2 linked regions of the Diceros bicornis minor genome follow. The protein of the gene in region 2 interacts with the protein of the main gene of each other region in a biochemical or structural test. Links are inferred from orthologs where the notes say so. Each region holds a gene or a part of one and is shown on either strand. Other genes may lie near its edges.

Region 1 (8,904 bases), on a different chromosome or scaffold from region 2:
CAGCAATCTCCGAGCCTATAAATTTGATCTTAATTTCTATTCAATTCCATACCTTCAACTGTTTTCCCTATTCAGATGTTTAAACTATTTAAGATAACCTCTAATAAAAAGTTAGGGAAAAAAATCTAGGGAAATAAACTAAATAATGCAAAGTAGGTTAATTCTTAAAAACTCCCCTCTCCTTAGATGCAGAAATACACAATAAAACACAAAAACGTTAAAAATACTGCTCTACCAATTATTCACTTTCCGTGTGATCTTGAGTCACTCACACTCCCTAAGCCTCCATTTTCTCCTCTGGAAATGGGGATAAAGAGTAACTGTAACTACCACACAGGATTGCTGAGAGCATTAATTAAAACAGCTTTACATGGGGCCGGCCCGGTGGTGCAAGCGGTTAAGTGCGCGCGCTCCGCTGCGGCGGCCCGGGGTTCGCTGGTTCGGATCCCGGGCGCGCACCGACGCACTGCTTGGCAAGCCATGCTGTGGCGGCGTCCCATATAAAGTGGAGGAAGATGGGCACACAGCTTTACATAAAGCACTTTAGCCAACCACTATGAAAATAGTAAGCTTCAATATGTGTTAACTTTTATATTTAAATCAAAACTTCAGTGTCATTTGACATCTACCTATTGAAAGATTATATTTCCTACGGTAACCATCTCTGTTAATCCTTTCATGCAAACCTACTCAATGGCAATAACTTCACAAGCACTCTGAAAACAGGCCTCTAACTGTCAAAGGAAGCCTTCCTCAACCATCCCTTTCCTCCTTGAGCTAGGTATCCTGCTCAGGAAATACACTGTATTTAACACCGTACATACCACGTTTACTTATATTACTTGAAAGCCCCTTGTGGGCAAGGCCCGTGTCCTATTCATTTCTGTATCTCCAGACCACAGCTCAGTAGTTCTTAACCTTGACTTGCATTAGAATCACATGGGGAGCTTATCAAAATACTAATGCCTGGGATCCACCCCAGACCCATTAAATCAGAAAAAGGTCAAGCAGGCAGAGGGCAAGTAATCAGCATGAAGGAGCATGTTTTTAAGATCCTCACATGATATTAATGTGCTGCCACAGTAAGAACCACTGCACTCTGACATTTAAAACACTATACAAACAGGTATGTATACACGTACGTGTGACTATATATATAAATACATAGGTATAGAAATATAAGTGTCAGCTCAAGATGCTCATCCTCAACAGCTTCTCTCAGCCCAATCACCTCTGCCCTTTAAACACACAATGTTTCTAATAAACAATTAGCTACACTGCCTTAAGATAACTTTTAAACTGTTAACTCAGTACTTAAGTTTTCTCACGTAATTTTGCCTTATTCTCCTTCCTAGATCACAGTCTTGCTCCTTGAGAATATACACTGCCTTATTCTTCTTGTTTCCTCCACAGTGCTTATGATAGTGTCTTGAACACAGACATGTAATAAACATTTGATCTAATAAACATATACAAAAATTACTGGCAGGAAGTATGTCACCAATTATCCAATTTGGGCTATTATGCCAAAAAAATAGAAAAAGTAAAAATTTAGAAAAAAGCTTTTAAAAAAATCTCTTAGTAAATGAGAACTAAAGTTTATCTCACTAATAAGGATCTGTATATCCCCACTTCTTATTACAGTAAACATACCCAGTATCCCATTCCCATCCAACACTTTCAGTTTCTGACCTTCTTCCTTGCTAAAACTATCTTCTAGTTGCTTTTGATATCTTTAGCTGCTGTCAGGTATCTTTATAACAATTTTATAATACTCCGTAATTAGTAAAATAAGTTAATGAAAGTCACAATGAAGTTTAATAAATATTTCTTGAAGCAACTTAATGTTATATCAACCACTAAAATAGGCTCTTTGCATACAAAATACATACTAATCTACTAATATAAACTTGGTTGGGAATACTGTCTGAAAATAAGTCTTATTCAACATTATACATAATACAAGTCTACTTCTGATGACAGATTGGTGATTTTCTGCTTTTATAATATTTTCATACCTGAAAACTTGGTAAAATACTATATGACTTTTTACAACAGAAGCACTAAGTTGTATTACACAACAAACTCCACAGCAACTAGCATTACAATGTTGAAACTACTAAGAAAAGTGAATGACACACAATTCTAAAAAAGCAACCACCTAAAGATATGAAAATGGTTCACCTGTAAATTTTGCGTCATATGTTTTACCACTATTAAAATAATCTGAAAGTCTTAAGTTGTTTTTAAAAAACTGAAAATACGGGGAGGAGGCACTCAAGAAGTAAGCCTGTTAATTACACACTGGTAAAACATTACCATGTTTTGTTGGGTCCTACAGCATGAAATCGATAGAGCCAAAGTTACCACAAAAAGAAAGCAATCCTCAATTCCCTATTCAATAAAAAAGGGTCAAATTCCACAGACAAAAAAATGGTACCCTGGGTTGTTTGTTTTTAAGGAAGATTAAATTTAGGAGTTGCCAACACCCAAACGGAAAACATTCCAGAGTATTAGACTCAATTGTACTGAGGAGTCATCTACATTCTCAGCAGTATGTTCCCTTACCCAAAGCAGGAGTATTAACAAAGGATGTTTCTTAGGATCTCACAAAATACGCCATACTTATTTCCCCCAGTAAACATTACCCTTGTTAAAAAACAGAAACAAAAAAAGGTACTTGAGAAATAACAATTTTAGCACAAGCAGCCAAACAAGAAATGAAGTTTAACATCTGCCAAGATATTTCCCAAAATAAGACCCCTGACAGATGAACAATGAGGAAAAGATTGAAAATGACAAATTCTTTTATTTGGACCATCAGCTCCTTTTAAAAATAAAGTTGAGGAATGCAGCTTTTCCAAAGCCTTGTCTTCAGTTTTCCCTCAACCTTCCTATTTTTAACTAAAAAAAAAAATCCTAGAAATTTGATTACCACTCTTATGAATTCCTTTTAAAGCAATTTAATGAATAACAGATCTTTTGTGCAAGTAGCAAACCGCAGAGGACAGTTTTGCTGGCTGATAAAAATCTCTCTGAAACATTCATGTAAAAATATACCCTTCAAAGACAAACACTGATTTTCCAGGTATGGAACTCATATTAAGACTTAAAAACTTGGATATGTTTGATATACACACCCTAACTTATTGCAAATGCTTTTACTTAAACCACAATTAAAATTAGTAAATTCTTATTAATTACTTACTGGGTGTCAAAGTTGAATAAATTAAAAGGTCAAAAGCAAAAAAAAAAAAAAAATTTAAAACCTAAAGAGCCAATGAGAAAAAGATGCAACTACTTTGGGTGAAACAAGGTTGTTGAATTACTTCCCCAAACCGGTGAGCTGCTACTAAAGTAATCAAAACTTGTTTAGGATTGTTTTGTTTTGTTGAAGGTAGAGAGAGGTGCGGCTATATGCTAAGGAAAAATGTTTCACCAGTCACTCTAATGGGAAGATGCTGCTGCCTGCAGAAATGTTTTGAGATTCCTCAAAATACCAAAAAAAAAAAAAAGAAACCAACCCTACCGCAAATGTTTTCCAGAATACACACAGCCAAATATTTAAATAGGCGATCATCTTAGCAAAAAGAACTGTGGGTTGCTACAGCGTTCCTACTGTCCTAAACATCACTCAGAAAGAGACGGAGTGTGTGTGTGTGCGTGTTGGAGACTGCCATCTACAAAAGCTAGTTTATACATAAAATAGTGCATATACTCATTTGGATATATCTATCTTGGGTTCAAAGAAAGATAAAAAGATAAAGCTGTCCTGGATAGTGCTAAGGCCACGTTTTCTTCACAGGTGCTACTAAACACTATTAAGAGAAAAGAGGAGATAAACAATCTGATAACTTCAGACCGTCACGTGGGAAGCTAGAGTATGTCGTCATCACCACTGACCAATTTTTCTAACTGATCAAGCATAAACAAGTCTAGGGGGACAAGTTCCGGAGCTACGAGTGGTCTTCCCACCACTCTGAAGAAGGACCCTGGGGCTGAGACCTTCGCCAAGAAGCCTAAAAAGCACGTGTCCTATTGGGTTTGGGGAACTCTTCCCAGGAAGCATTTGTCCAGAGGAAAACTCCATCACCCTCTGCCCGCCTAACTCGGCGAAAGGAGAAGAAGTACGAGCCGGAGGGGGACCCCTGGGCCCGGGGAGCTCCGGCTCACAAGGCGGCCGCCCCCAGGTCCGGCGCGGCCCGCCCGCTCACCTCCGCGGCGGGGATGTTGACCACGCCGGTGGAGCGCCGCTTCTCCCGCAGCTTCCTCTTCTCGATCTGGCCCTTGCCTTTCCTGGCGCTGGGGCCCGAGCTCTTGCCCTTCTCCGGGGCGCCGTCCCGCTCCTCCTGGTCGCCCCGGGCCGGCGGGGACCCCGAGGCGGCGGCGGCGGCGGCGGGGGGGGGCTCGTCCTCGGGGCGCCGCGGGCCCGGGGCGGCCCGGCTCGGCGCCGCGGGGCCCCCGGTGCAGTTCACGCCCCCGGGCCCGGGCCCGGCAGGTGCGGCCGCGCCGCCCGCGAGGTTGTTGTTGAGCTCGTTGGCCACGGCGGCCGCCGAGGGGCCCAGAGCCCCCGCCGCGGGCTTCCCGGCCGCGTCGCCGCTGCCCCCGCCCGGGGCGGCCGGGCCCGGGGGGTTCTGCTTGGCGCGCATCTTCTCGCGCTTCGCCTTCCACTCCTCCAGGAAGTCGGTGGTGCTGCCACTGCCGCCGCTGCCAGCCCGGTAGCCACCGGTCGCCATATTCCCAGCGGGGCCGGCCGGCGCTCACCTCACGCCGCCCGCCCCGGCTGCAGCGGCCGCCGCCTCTTCCTTCCCGCCGCCCGGAGGATGCGAGGCAACGACCCCCGGCGCGGGGGCGGCCGCGGCTCCCCCAGCGGCCGGCCGGTCTGGGGGGAAACACAAAAGGGGGCGGGGAAGGGAGGCGTCAGGTCCTCGCCCGGCCCGAGGGTCTGCCCGCGGCCGCGCCCCTCCGAGCCCCAAAGAGCGCGCCCACTCGCCCCGCCAGCCGCGGCCGCCGAGTCCCCACCCTGCAAAGTTTCTCCGACGCACCTACACGGCGGGCCGGGCGATCGCCGCCCCTCGAGGGGAGGAGAGAGGGGTTGTCCCCACCCCCGGCCCGCCCGCCCCCATCCCCACCCGGGTCAGCGCCCGCGGCGGTCGGGGGACCAGGGCCAGACCCCGCCACCTGTTGGCCCGTCGCAGCTCCCGCCCCTCGCTCCGGCCGCCGCCGGCCCGGGGTCCCCGCCCCGACACCCCACGCCCGGGTCGAGGCGCGGAGCCCCCAGGCTGCCCGCGGAGGAGGCGGGACGCGGGGAGACACCAGCCGTCCGGCCGAGTGGGGAGGGACAGTGCGCGCGTGGAGCGCGGGCGGCCGGGGCAGCCGCTTACCTGGGAGGAGCTGGGGGGACGAGGCGCGGGGCCCGGGCGCGGGCGCGGGCGCCCAGGTGAGCCGAGGCGGCCGCGCGCAAGGAACGAGCGGCAGCAACCCGCCGGCCGGAGCTCGCGGTTCTCCGGGCTGGGAGGGAACGAGGGGCGGAGGGGAGCCGAGCGGCGCCGAAGCGCGGGCGGAAAGGGCCGAGCCGGGCGCGAGGGGCGCGGCGCGCGGGGGGAGGTCGGGTCTGCCGACGCCCCGCCCCCGGCGCTCAGGTGCGCGGCGCCGCCGCCCGCCCCGCGCCCGCGGGCCGCAGCGCACATTCCTGGGCTCGCGGCCTCGCGGCGGCCGGCCTCCCGGCGCCGCCGGCTCCGGGGCGGGAGCGGCCCTGCACGCCCTCACCCCGTCCTCCTCTCCGCCTCTCGCGGCTCCCGCCACTCTTCCTTTTAAGTACAAGACACATTCTTCGAGGGAAAGTCTCGAATGCTGCTGGCTGAGGGAAAAGTACCATCAACTTGCGATGATTCAGGGCCGGAGTAGCCAGGATGGGAAAACGCTCGCGCGTCCCTTTTCCTCGTCGCTGTGCCCTCTTCAGATGCACTAGGGTGGCAGGCAGGAGAGCAGAAGGAATTGAAACAAACCCAGCATCCTCCTTCTAAGAAAAGTCTGTGGTCTTCTGGTGAAAGCGTCAGCTAAAAGGAGAGGCTTAAATTATCAGTGAATTATCACCGGGTTACTATTATCTTAGGCTTGCAGGAAAAAATTAACATTTCGACAGTGTATTGTATTGGCGATCCCAATGAATTTGGAGTTTTCCTCTTAACCCTGTCTCTACACCACTCTTTACAGATAGTGAATTTAGCAGCAAAGCTCCCTCCCAAAGTACTAAAGCTGCCCTAATGCTCATCTGATATGAGCTGGGGCGCTCACTCTTTTCCCATCCTTAACACACCATAGGGAAAATCTTACCCTCAGCTGCAAGTCATCTGAGGTTTCCAGATCAGGGCTGGGTGGGCTGCCACTGACAGGCACCTGAGGAGATTGACCTCCCTCTATCCGAGTAATGCCATGCACATCATTGTAGGGCACACATGTACAAATGCCAGGTCACTGTTTTGTGAAAAGTAGGCGAGCCCTGAGTCACACTCTTACCTAACAAATCTTTGTTCCTACTTAGTATTCGCCCAGGTGGCACATGGTGGGTGTGCAGTCAGTGTGTGCCTGTGACAGGAATGAGAACAGGAGAAAGTGCTTCACATGCTCTTTATTTCTCAGAGGGGAAGTCGTGCAGTTCTGGTCTTTGGTCTGGCTGTTGGGGTGAACATGTGTGGGTAACGGAGAGAGCTCTGGAAAAATCCTTAGAAAAGTAAAGGCCTTCCTTGGGAATAGATTTAAAAGGCTGAGCCTAGCTGGTACCAACCTGGGTGCACCACCTGAAATCCCTCAATTATAGATGCATTATTTTGTTTTTTGAGTTTTAGAGAGAGTTGGACATTAAAAAGATTCACATTAATATGCTTGGAGGGGCTGCAGGAGACAGTGAAAAAAAGGAGATATTCTGCCTAGACACATAGTAGCTGAAAGATCTTGGTCATGTTGTTTAAATTCTCTGAAACTCAGCTTTCTTTACTATAAAAATCAGCAATACTGGCATATATTTTTAAGCCACTGTAAGAATTGACACCGCATGTTAGGTGTGCTTGGTTCAAGGAAAGTACTCTGTAAATATAGTCCCTTTTATTAATAGGGTATCAGTCAGAGTCCAGGGTCTCTAAGAAGTGGGGGGTCGGAGGAAAGGCAAAAAAGATAAGGTACTGAATACACAATTTAAATTTGAAAATGATAGACTTTGAATGAACGAGGATAACACTGATGCCACATAAATTTATCACTGCATCTCTTGACTTCTGAGTCAAGAAGATTGGCTACCAGTGACTTGTGTGGCTTTGGACAAGTTGCTTAACATTTGTGCCTCTGTTTACTTACATATAAAATGAGGATAATAATACTTCCTACCTTGTGAAAGTGTTGTGACAGTGCCTGAGATCCTTAGATAAAAGGTAGTATGTGAGTACCAGAGTAGCTATTATTACTCTATAAAGCGCCCTAAGAACCATGGATGAAAGAGATTATTGAGGTACAAAGCACTATGTATCATTATCATTTATTATACCTTTTGTCTTTACCTTACCATTCTCAATATTCCCAGAGATATTTCACAGCCAGACTGCTTCCAACATTGCAACAAGATGTTTAGCTGAGTCAGTCCTAAATTGCAAAATGTTTGCATATCATCAATCTTTATGTAGAGTGTTCTGATGAAATAATCCTCAAAGACTCAGAGCTTGGTTTCCCAACTGCAGCACTATGGACATTTGGGACCAGATATTTCTTTGTTTGGGGGGTTGTCCTATCCATTGTAGGATGTTTAGCAGCATCCTTGGCTTCTACCTACTAGATACCAGTAGCTGCCCGCACCCCCAGTTGTTACTTTGCCAAATGTTACTTGGCGGCAAAATTTTCTCCAGTTGAGAACCTCTGAGCTAGCCTAAAATAATTTTGGTGACCCACTTCCCCTTAATAATAAAGGGAAATATGATGATGCTAACAAAACAAATAAAAAGATTCATTTTACTATGTCCGAGTGAAACTTATTCTAAATGTTAAGTCAATGTTTTCCAGGCAATGGATTAGCTATGATGTGAAATAGCCTATTTGTATGTGTTGAAATAAATAACAGGATATTGAGAAATAGCCATTTTGCCTTCAAGGCAAATATCTCTGTAGCATATGCAGTTTACCATCTAAAAGAAAAATAATAGATGTACATAGTTTTAAAAGTTAAATACTTTAGTTCTACAAGGATTATAACAACAGCAATCCCCTACCTACCCTTCCCACTCCCCAAACCCCTCCCAGAACTTTAAACTCTTTTAACTGTTTCTGCTAATATAGCTATTCATATTTAATTTTTAAATGTCCTTATCTACTATTCTACTTCTTGATTTTTTCCATTTTTAGATGTCCTTTGCTGACTTCCTAATATAGAGGAAAATGTAGCTGTCTTACACTAACTATGCATACACTTTTCTTACTCCTAAACTCCCACTATATTTATATCAAGATTTTTATTGAATAAACATTCAGTGTTTATAGTGTTATGACTATGAAAATATTGTTCACAGCTGAGCCATGCAGTGCACTATAATTGCATTTCTTTTTTTTAAACTGTTTTTCCTTATTGCACAACTATTTCTTTTTCCTGCAGTTAAAACTTGCCTTTTTTTTTTTTTAATCATTGGCTTAATATTTTCTATATACCACTCACAAATTTACACCCAAACTTTCCTCCTCTCAATGCACTTAATCATGTCGGGTAATCCGTAGTTCTATTTCTCTTTTTCTTGGAGACATCTCTCCTGGAGCCCTCCATCCCCTGCTCTAGTCTGGATTGATTTTAAGGCTCGTTGCTCCGTGGTCATACTGGGAATCATTTCCTGTGCAGACTCGTTGTTTCCTGAATCCCATATTGTCCTC
Region 2 (8,904 bases):
TGAAGATCCTACAGAGATGTTATCCTATGTAACCACTGTGCATTTGTCAAAACCAAGGAGTAAACATTGGAAGGTTACTCTTAGCCGTGTGACGGAGTTTATTCGGGTGTTATCCGGATGTCCACGCATGCCCTTTTCTCTATTTCAGGATTCAATCCGGGATAGATACTGCATTGCAGCTAGTTTTGTACATTTTAACTTTTTTTGTGAGGAAGATCGGCCCTGAGCTAACATCTGCCAGTCCTCCTCTTTTTGCTGAGGAAGACTGGCCCTGGGCTAACATCCGTGCCCATCTTCCTCCACTTTATCTGGGACCCCGCCACAGCATGGCCTGACAAGTGGTCCGTCGGTGCGCACCTGGGATCCGAACCTGCAAACCCCGGGCCGCCGAAGCGGAGTGTGGGCACTTAACCCCTACGCCACCAGGCCAGCCCCTGTACATTTTTAATACCAAATAATTTTGCCAGAGATATGACTATATAAATTGAGAAGATTGAACTGCATTTTGTTGAACTACAAGAATTTTTCACCACTTCCAAATACTGATGGCAAGGCCACTGTGGTATTTGGCTTGCTAATACAGCACCTCTGTGTCAACGTGCATTTATAGCTGCTGCATGCACGGTGATTCCATTTCTGGGGGCTGCCATCTGGTGACTACGTTGTGTCTTCTGAGTAATTCCACCCGAGCTTAGACATGTTACAAATATGTGTGTGCGCGCGCGTGTGTGTATTGCTCCCTACCTAGATTTGTTTCATTTTATTTATCGATTTTAGTTAAATGGTGTTATTTTTGTGATTGCTCCAGGCCAGCAGTTCCCAACTTTTTGATGTCAGGACCCTTAGACACTCTGAAACGTTACTGAGCTTTTGTTTAAACAAATTGCTTTTGTTTAAACGGGTTCTCTCTGCTGATATTCACCATATTTTGAAATTAAAATTGAGAAATTTCAAAAATAGTAATGAATTTATTTTGAAATAACAATAACAAACCCATCTCATTTAACATAAATAGCAAATAACATTTTTATGGAAGAAAAACTATTTCCCAAAACGAAATAATAGAAGAGTAGCATTGTTCTACATTTTTGCAAATCTTCGAAATCTCTGGCTTCATAGAAGACAACTGGATTCTTTTTTTTTGTGAGGGAGATCAGCCCTGAGCTAACATCCATGCTAATCCTCCTCTTTTTGGTGAGGAAGACCGGCCCTGAGCTAACATCTATTGCCAATCCTTCTCCTTTTTTTTTCCCCCCAAAGCCCCAGTAGATAGTTGTATGTCATAGTTGCACGTCCTTCTAGACAACTGGATTCTTATATCTGCTTCTGTATTAAATCTGTTATGTTGTTTTGGTTGAACTATTTGGAGAGAATCAAGCCTCACTCATTCCCATACTTGGAAAAGAGAGAAGCATTTTAGTACTTTTTTCAGCTAATTGGGCATGTTCTTTTATACAACACCAAAACTCAACAAGTGCTGGTTTCTTAAGGAGTAATTACAATGTGGTATCTGAAACCATACTAATGAACTTTTCGTAATTGTTACATTAAAATCCATTGGTCTGTCTTGCACTTTGAATGAGTCTTTGCTTCCCACATGATTTTGTAACATCATGCGCTGGTTATGTAGCAATATTAGTAGTAAACCAGGACCGGCCCTGTGGCATAGCGGTTAAGTGCGCGCGCTCCGCTGCTGACGGCCCGGGTTCGGATCCCCCACACGCACTGATGCACCGCTTGTCGGGCCACGCTGTGGGGCGTCCCATATAAAGTGGAGGAAGATGGGCACGGATGTTAGCCCAGGGCCAGTCTTCCTCAGCAAAAACAGGATGATTGGCATGGATGTTAACTCAGGGCTGATCTTCCTCACACACACTAAATAAATAAATAAATAAACAGATAAATAAATAAATATTAAACAAAAAAAAAGTAGTAAACCAAGTTTGCAGTTCTTCCAGATGTTGGCACATTTCATTAAACCATACCGAAAAATCGCATTTGTTACTATCAATTTCATTAGGCAAGTGTCGAGGTATCGGGAAACTGTCAGGTGTCAAAAAATTTAATATTTTGCTTGAAAGCTCAAATGTTACCGTCGGCAACAAATACTGTCAACCGTTTCCCTTGAAGTGACAGGCTCAATTTGTTCATTTTTGAGAAAATGTCTGCCAAATACCCAAGTCTGAATTACTATAGTTTGTCAGTTGTTTTTTTCAAGGAAAAATGGTGTTCCAACCCCTCACTCACTACGTGTGGGCTGTGCATACGTAACTTGCTTCCAATGAATATCGTACAGAAAAGGGAGGAAAAAAGAGTGACTTTATAGTGGAGAAACCTGACGAGCCAGGGGACCAAGGTCAACATAAACAGTGACAAGTCACATGGATGGAATAGACCCCGATATGATGGGGTGAAAAGGGCACTTTACCTCTGGGGTCCTCCGCCTTAAAACCCATCACCCCAGTCCAACCATGAGAAAACAATCAGACACACCCCAGTTGAGGGACATTCTACAAAATGCCTGTCCAGTCCTCAAAACTGTCAAGGTCATCAAAAACAGGAAAGTCTGAGAAACCGTCACGGCCCCAAGGAGCTTAAGGACTAAATGTCATGTGGGATCCTGAAACGGAAGAAGGGCGTTAGGAAAAACAAGGAATCCGAGTAAAGCGTGGACTTGGTTAAGAGTAACGTGTCGCTGTCGGTTCATTAGTTGTGACAAATGTACCATGTTAGTGTATGATGCAGTAACAGGGGAAACCGGGTGTGGGAGAAGGCACTGCTTTCGCTGTGAACTGGAGTGTGTGTAGGGGTTAAGTAAGAGGGGAGGAAGGCGATCTCCAGGCGGAAGGAACAGCTCGTGCCAAGACCTTGGGTAGGAATGAGATGTTTGAAGTCAGAAGGAACACAAACGGGTTTGGAGTGCAGTGAGCAAGGGGGAGACCGGCGCTGATGTTAGGGTGGTCGGCAAAGGCTGAAAGATATAGGGTCTTGTGTCCAATGGCTTCTGAGGTGGCTTGGGGTTCGGGCCCATCTGGGAATGAATCTCAGTCCTGCCATTTACCCGCTGTGTGACTTTGAGTGAGATACCTAACCTCTCTGGGTCTCAATTTCCCCCTCTGTAGAATGGGGGAAATATTAATATATTCTTCCTCCTAAGGTTGTTGATTGGTACATGCTAAGGCTCAATAAACGCTGTTATTATCATGTATCTTGAGAAGAACAGGAGTCGCAGAAGGAGCCTCAAGCATGCATGGCAACACCTGACTGGTCTCCTCACTTGCGTTTTTATTTATGTATTTGGAATAGGGGTAACGTTTTACAGGGGAGGAAACCGCCACTCAGGGACTAAAGCAGCCCTGGGGTCCATCCCCGGAGCTGCCACGCCGGAGCTGGGCTTTGGATTCGCGTACTCTGCGCCCAGAAACCCAGGAATATCGGGGGGCAGGACTTCAGCCTCGCGCCTCCCAGCTTCAGGACCCCGGTCAGAGGAGATAGGGCGGGGCGACCCAGGGGCCGGAAGTCGGTCTGCAGACTTACGAAAGCTTGACGGGCGTCAGTTACAGCCAATCAGCTGCGGGGAGGTGAGCCTGTTGGCCAATGGCGAGGCGGCATCTAGGTGCGGAGGGCCGGACGCCTTCGGGCCTGGGCCGGGAAGGCTGCGGTGGGCGGGGCGTCACGAGCGGCGGGCGCGCTGACCAATGGGCGGTGAGATCCGCCTCCGGGGGCGGGCACTAGCGGACGCGGTGACGTCATCGCAGGTCAGCACGTCGCAGGGGCCCAAGGAGGCGGCGGCGGCCAGCGCGGCGGAGGGACCGGTGAGCGGAGGGTGCGGAGCGGGCTCGGCCCTAGGCCGGCGGGTGAAGGGGGCCCTGGGGGACGTAGGGCGACGTCTGGGGAGTCCTGGGATGACCGGGCCGGAGAAGGGGCTGGGCCGGGGCCTGCGGGGGGCGTGGCGGCCTCGGGGACGCTGCAGCAGGGACATTAGGGATTGGGGAGTCCTTGGAGGGGTCGCTGAAGGGGTCATCGGGGTCTGCCCTGGAGCTCGTGCGAGGGTTGGGGGCGAGAGACCGTGGAGGAGGCTCAGATGTGGCCCTTTGCGGGGGCCCTTTGTTTGGGGGTGGGGGAGACTGGGGTGGGGCCCTGATACCTGGAGGGGTGCCTTCGAGGAGGGGGCGGTCAGGGGGAGGCAGGAGTGGGGAGGGGCTTGCAGGAAGCCGCTGTCCAGTTCCTGGGAATTCAGGGTGCGGGGAGAACACCGCTGAGGAGGGTCTTAAGAGACCGGCCGAGGTTGGGGGGCCCTGGGGGGGAGAGCGTCAGGACGAGGGGGGTTGGAGGTCGCTGATGGGCAGGGAGATGGGAGCGTGCGGGACTGGAACTACTTAGGAAGCTGGGCAGGAGTCCCGGGGTCTGGGGGTGTGGAGACTGGGGGAGCTTGCAGGAATGTGTGGGGCCTCTGGATGAGCAGGTTGGGAGAAGGCAGAGACAGGTGGGGGCAGTGTGTGGGGAGCCAGAGGTAGTGCCTGGCGGGAGTTATGGGGGCGAAGGTGGCACAGTGGGGCTCACACCGACCTTTTGGGGGGCACGGTGTCTAAATGAGATGCCACGGGAAAGTGGCCGGCTCGCTAAACGCACGTGCCCCCTGAGGACAGTGGGCCTTCAGCGTGGAGTGATGTGAGACCTATCTTTGGCGAGCAGGTGGCTCCGTTTACCTAGGAGTAGTGGCATCTCATTCCTTCTTTCCTGTGTCTCTGTCTCCTCCAGGGTCACAGCGAGGGGACTCCCCGAGGTCCCGTCCCCAGGCTGCAGTGACTGGGCTTTCACTGGAGCGGAAGGTGCTGGAAGGCAGACCGGCCACCATGTCCACATTCAGGCAGGAAGATGTGGAAGACCACTACGAGATGGGGGAGGAGCTGGGCAGGTGAGCAGGCCCCTCTGACGGGGCTCTGGGGCTGGGGGAGGCACTGCGGGGTTTTCTGGACAGTATCTCCCGTCCTGTCCTTTGTTCTGTTCTCCAAGATGGAATGAGTCAGGGGTGTGTGCTGGTGGAACGAGTTTGGGCTTTGGAATCAGACAGCCCTGGCCGTGAATTCCTGCTCTGACATCCTCTGTGCGTTTCCTTTGGGAAGAAACGTAACTGAGTGTCTTTGGCACCGAATGCGATGCCTGGCAAGTGGTGTGAGAGCAGTTGGGTTAGCAGTTTCTGTCTCTTTAATCCTCTCGTGTGGGAGGCATTTACGTCTCCGCAGCTCTTGAACACACGTTTCCAGGGAAGGCCTCCTGTCTGGGCCCCCACGCCTGCCGATTGTGAGCATTCTTGTGGGAAAAAGCGGAGGTTTCCCATTCCAGCCGGGCAGCTGATTTCCTGCCTGGCCGGGCCTTGCCGGGTCCCCTGGGAACTCGCCTGCCTCAGACCAGTCAGGCACCATTCTTTTTTTTTTTTTTTTTCCCAGAGCCTCAAACCTTATTTGGTGAGTTTGTTGCTGGCCAGCCTTCCTGATCTGCCTTGGCCGGCCCCATGATGTCACCAGAAAGGAATGTAAATAACTCAGCCCCGCCTCAGGCCTTTTCGGAGAGAGTGGCTCCTTTGGGATCCTGAAGTGCTTCCTTTAGGAATTTCCTCTGTTAGAGAGGTAGCGAATGCAGCCTCCACCTCCCGCCCCCCCCCCCCAAAGAAATCTCATATTTTATTGTTGAAAATGTGTTAGGACCTCCTACTGAGGGTAGTTTGGCAAAAATCAGCAAAATGTCACATGTATGTTCTCTTTAACCCATCGATTCCACTCCCAGGAATGAATTCAGTGGAAATACGTGCTACACGGATCAATGACCTAGGAATAGGAGTAGATGCTATAGGGATTTTATATGAGTGAAAGATGGGAAGCCTCTTTGGGCCGTTACAGCAACACCACATCCGTTAATGGAACATTATGCAGCCGTTAAAAAGAGCCAGGCAACTCGTCTGATGTGGGCCACATAGGAAATTTATTGAAGTTTTCTAGATAAACTGAGGATGAGAGAAGGGAAGGGACTTGCCCAAGGGCACACAGACTGTAAGTGGCAAAGGAGGATTCAGACCTTGAGACAAAGCCCCCCTGGCTCCAGAGCCCAGGTGCGCTGGAATCAGAGGTGGGCACCTGGTTCCCGTCTGCCCGACAGCCAGCTCTGCCCTCGTATCCCGGGGTTGGGCCCATTTGATGTCCAGACGAAGACGAGCCCCTGACCTGAGTGTTGGGAAGAGAGTGTGTGCTCACGCCCAAAACATCGTCCTCTTTCGGGCGCGCGCTTTGCCCCTCTGAGGTTGGCCGCTGTGATCAGCTCTCGGTTTCAGAGGAGGGAACGAGCTGCAGTTCAGTGTCGAGCAGAGCTGTCTTTCCCGAGCCTAATTATCAACTGTCTTTGGGGAATTAGCTGCCGGAATCACCGTGGGGACAGACCTCGAGTAAAGCAGGGCCACCTTGTCTCGTCCCAGGGGTCACAGGGCTCAGTGAACTGGGAGCGAGTTTCTTTGTGTGTGTGTTCTCAATTCAAATTCGAATCGACACTCTCAGGAAATAAATTAATCCGTGGTGGCTGAGTCTGTGGGCTTCCACGTCGTGGAGTGGCGGCACGTCTGTGTTAGTGAGCTCCCACTGTCGGAGCTCAGTGCCCCGGACGAGGGGCTTAAACAGCAGACGTGTATTCTTTCCCAGTGCTGCAGGCTGGAAATCCAAAATCTGGGTGTCGGCAGGGCAGGTTCCCTCTGAGGCCTCTCTCCTTGGCGTGTAGACGGCCGTCTCCCGGTGTCCTCACGTGGTCCCCCTCTGTGCGTGTCTGTGTCCTCCTCTCCTCCTCTTATAAGGACACAGTCCTATTGGTTAGGACCCACCCTAATGACTTCTTTTAACTTAATCACCTCTTTAAAGACCTGTCTCCAAACGCAGTCACATTCTGAGGTCCTGGGGGTTAGGGCTTCAACATACAGATTTCGGGGGGACCCAGTTCAGCTCACAACAGCATCTTTTGACCTGTTCCCATGATCTCGGTCTTACTCATCTTTATGTGTGAGTTCAGCTTGGAATCAAGCTGGAGGAGAGCAGTCCTTGTATTGGAAATTCAGGCCACACGTCCAGTGCTCAGCACGGCGTGGCGGACACTCGGCCTGTGATGTCATTGCCGTCAGGGAGTCTTCGTGGGGTGGGGGGCGGGCCTGGAAGAATTCGCTTGGCTGATGTAGGCAGAGGGGCGGGGGGAGGCATTTCACGTGGGGGGAGTGTTAGCCCAGACTTGGAGGGGCAGGAGCATAGTGGACCTGGGGGCTGTTGTGGCAGATTGGGGAGTGGGGGGCAAGGCCTGAGCGGGAACACTTAGCCTTTCTCGTCTCACCTGTGTCCCTGGCTTTTAGGTTAGTGTTGGAGTTTCCTGTTGCTGCCGTAACAAACTACCACAGTTTAGTGGCTTACAAGAGCACGCATTGGTTATCTGAAAGGTCTGGGGCTCCGGAGTCTAAAATGGATCCTCAGGGCTGGTCCTCCGGAGGCTCCAGGGAGAACCGTCTCCTGCCTTTTCCAGCTTCTAGAGGCCGCGTCCTGGGCTCGGGGCCCCTTCCTCCGTCTGCACAGCCCGCAGCGCAGCGTCTCCCGTCTCTCAGCCTCTGACCCTCCTCCTCCCTCTGATGGGGACCCTGTGGTGACACTGGGCCCCCGGGGATCCAGGGTCATCCCCATCTCAGGGGCCTTGACTTAATCCATCTGCAAAGTCCCCTGTGCCGTGTGAGGTGACGCATCCACAGGTCCCAGGATTTGGACGTGGACGTCTTTGGAGGGGCCATTATTTCATCTACCATGGTCAGTCATGATTTTGCACCTCCCACCTGCCCACCTCGAGCTTCACCCACCTCCTGACCCCCCGAGTGTGTGCAGAGCACACCCGTGGTGGCCCGCCCTGGGTGCTCCTCGTGTGGTGCTGGTGCGGGCGTGGCTTAGGTGCCTGCCAGCTGCGGTGGTCCTGGGCTCCCAGGGAAGGTCCGCTTGCTGAGACGCATGTCTCAGGTCCCAGTCAGGTCGCTTGGCTTTTCTGGGAGCCCCTCTGGCGTGGCACAGGCGCCCCTCACTCGTCTGTCTGTCTCTGGTTCTGCCTGGCCTGTCTTCCCTCTGCCGCCACCAACTTCAGGGACCCCTCCTGTCCCCAAGGCCCGTCTCCGCTGTTCCTTCCTCTACATGCTGTCCCCCGTTTCCCTGAGGTGTCGCGTAGTCCCTTCTTCTTGACGCTGACGGTGCCCTGCTGGCGTTCCGTCCGGGGCACGCGCTTGCTCCCTGGGGATTGGCCCGTCCACTGACGTGTGCGTTCCCGTATCCTCTTGGTGCCGGCTCAGCGACCACCGCCTGTGGGCCAAATCCCACCCTAGCCACTTCGTGCAGCCCGCTCGTGGATCTGGAATGGGCTTTGACTGTTTTTAAGGGTTGTAAAAACGTGCAGGAATTGTGACAGAGGCCACATGGCCCGTAAAGCTTGAAATATTTACTGTCTGGCCTTTGTCAGTCACCTCTTGAGTTACAGCAAGTTAACCTAAGCGAGTTCCTAGACAGCAAAGGAATTCGGACACTGGGCAGCTCCCTGGGGGGCAGTAAATAGACTTTCTCTCTCTCGGTAACGGCTGTCTTGAGATATAATTCACATACCGTACAGTTCTCTCATTCAAAGTGTACAACTTAATGCTCTTTAGTACATTCACAGAGTTGTGCAACCATCACCACTAGATAGTTCCAAAACATTTCCATAATCCCAAAAAGAAACCCCATCCCATCAGCAGTCACTCCCCATCCCCTCCCCAGCCCCTGACACCCATGAACCCACTTTCTGTCTGCGGACGTGCCTGTTCTGGACATTTCACATCAATGGAATCACGCACCGTGTGTCCTTCTTTGT

The links.
Region 1: of the proteins of DAPK3 (region 2) and PAWR, one has a biochemical effect on the other in vitro, tested with the Homo sapiens proteins (2 studies listed by BioGRID). The link is inferred for Diceros bicornis minor from reciprocal best matches to the Homo sapiens genes DAPK3 and PAWR.

What each region holds. Positions count from the first base shown.
Region 1 is NC_080764.1:40,239,807-40,248,710, reverse strand, and holds the start of PAWR (PRKC apoptosis WT1 regulator protein), read right to left. Parts: upstream 4,807-8,904; 5' UTR 4,737-4,806; coding exon 4,215-4,736; intron 1-4,214. UniProt on the Homo sapiens protein: Pro-apoptotic protein capable of selectively inducing apoptosis in cancer cells, sensitizing the cells to diverse apoptotic stimuli and causing regression of tumors in animal models.
Region 2 is NW_026691553.1:3,018,625-3,027,528, reverse strand, and holds the start of DAPK3 (death-associated protein kinase 3), read left to right. Parts: upstream 1-3,769; 5' UTR 3,770-3,815; intron 3,816-4,761; 5' UTR 4,762-4,856; coding exon 4,857-4,918; intron 4,919-8,904. UniProt on the Homo sapiens protein: Serine/threonine kinase which is involved in the regulation of apoptosis, autophagy, transcription, translation and actin cytoskeleton reorganization. Involved in the regulation of smooth muscle contraction.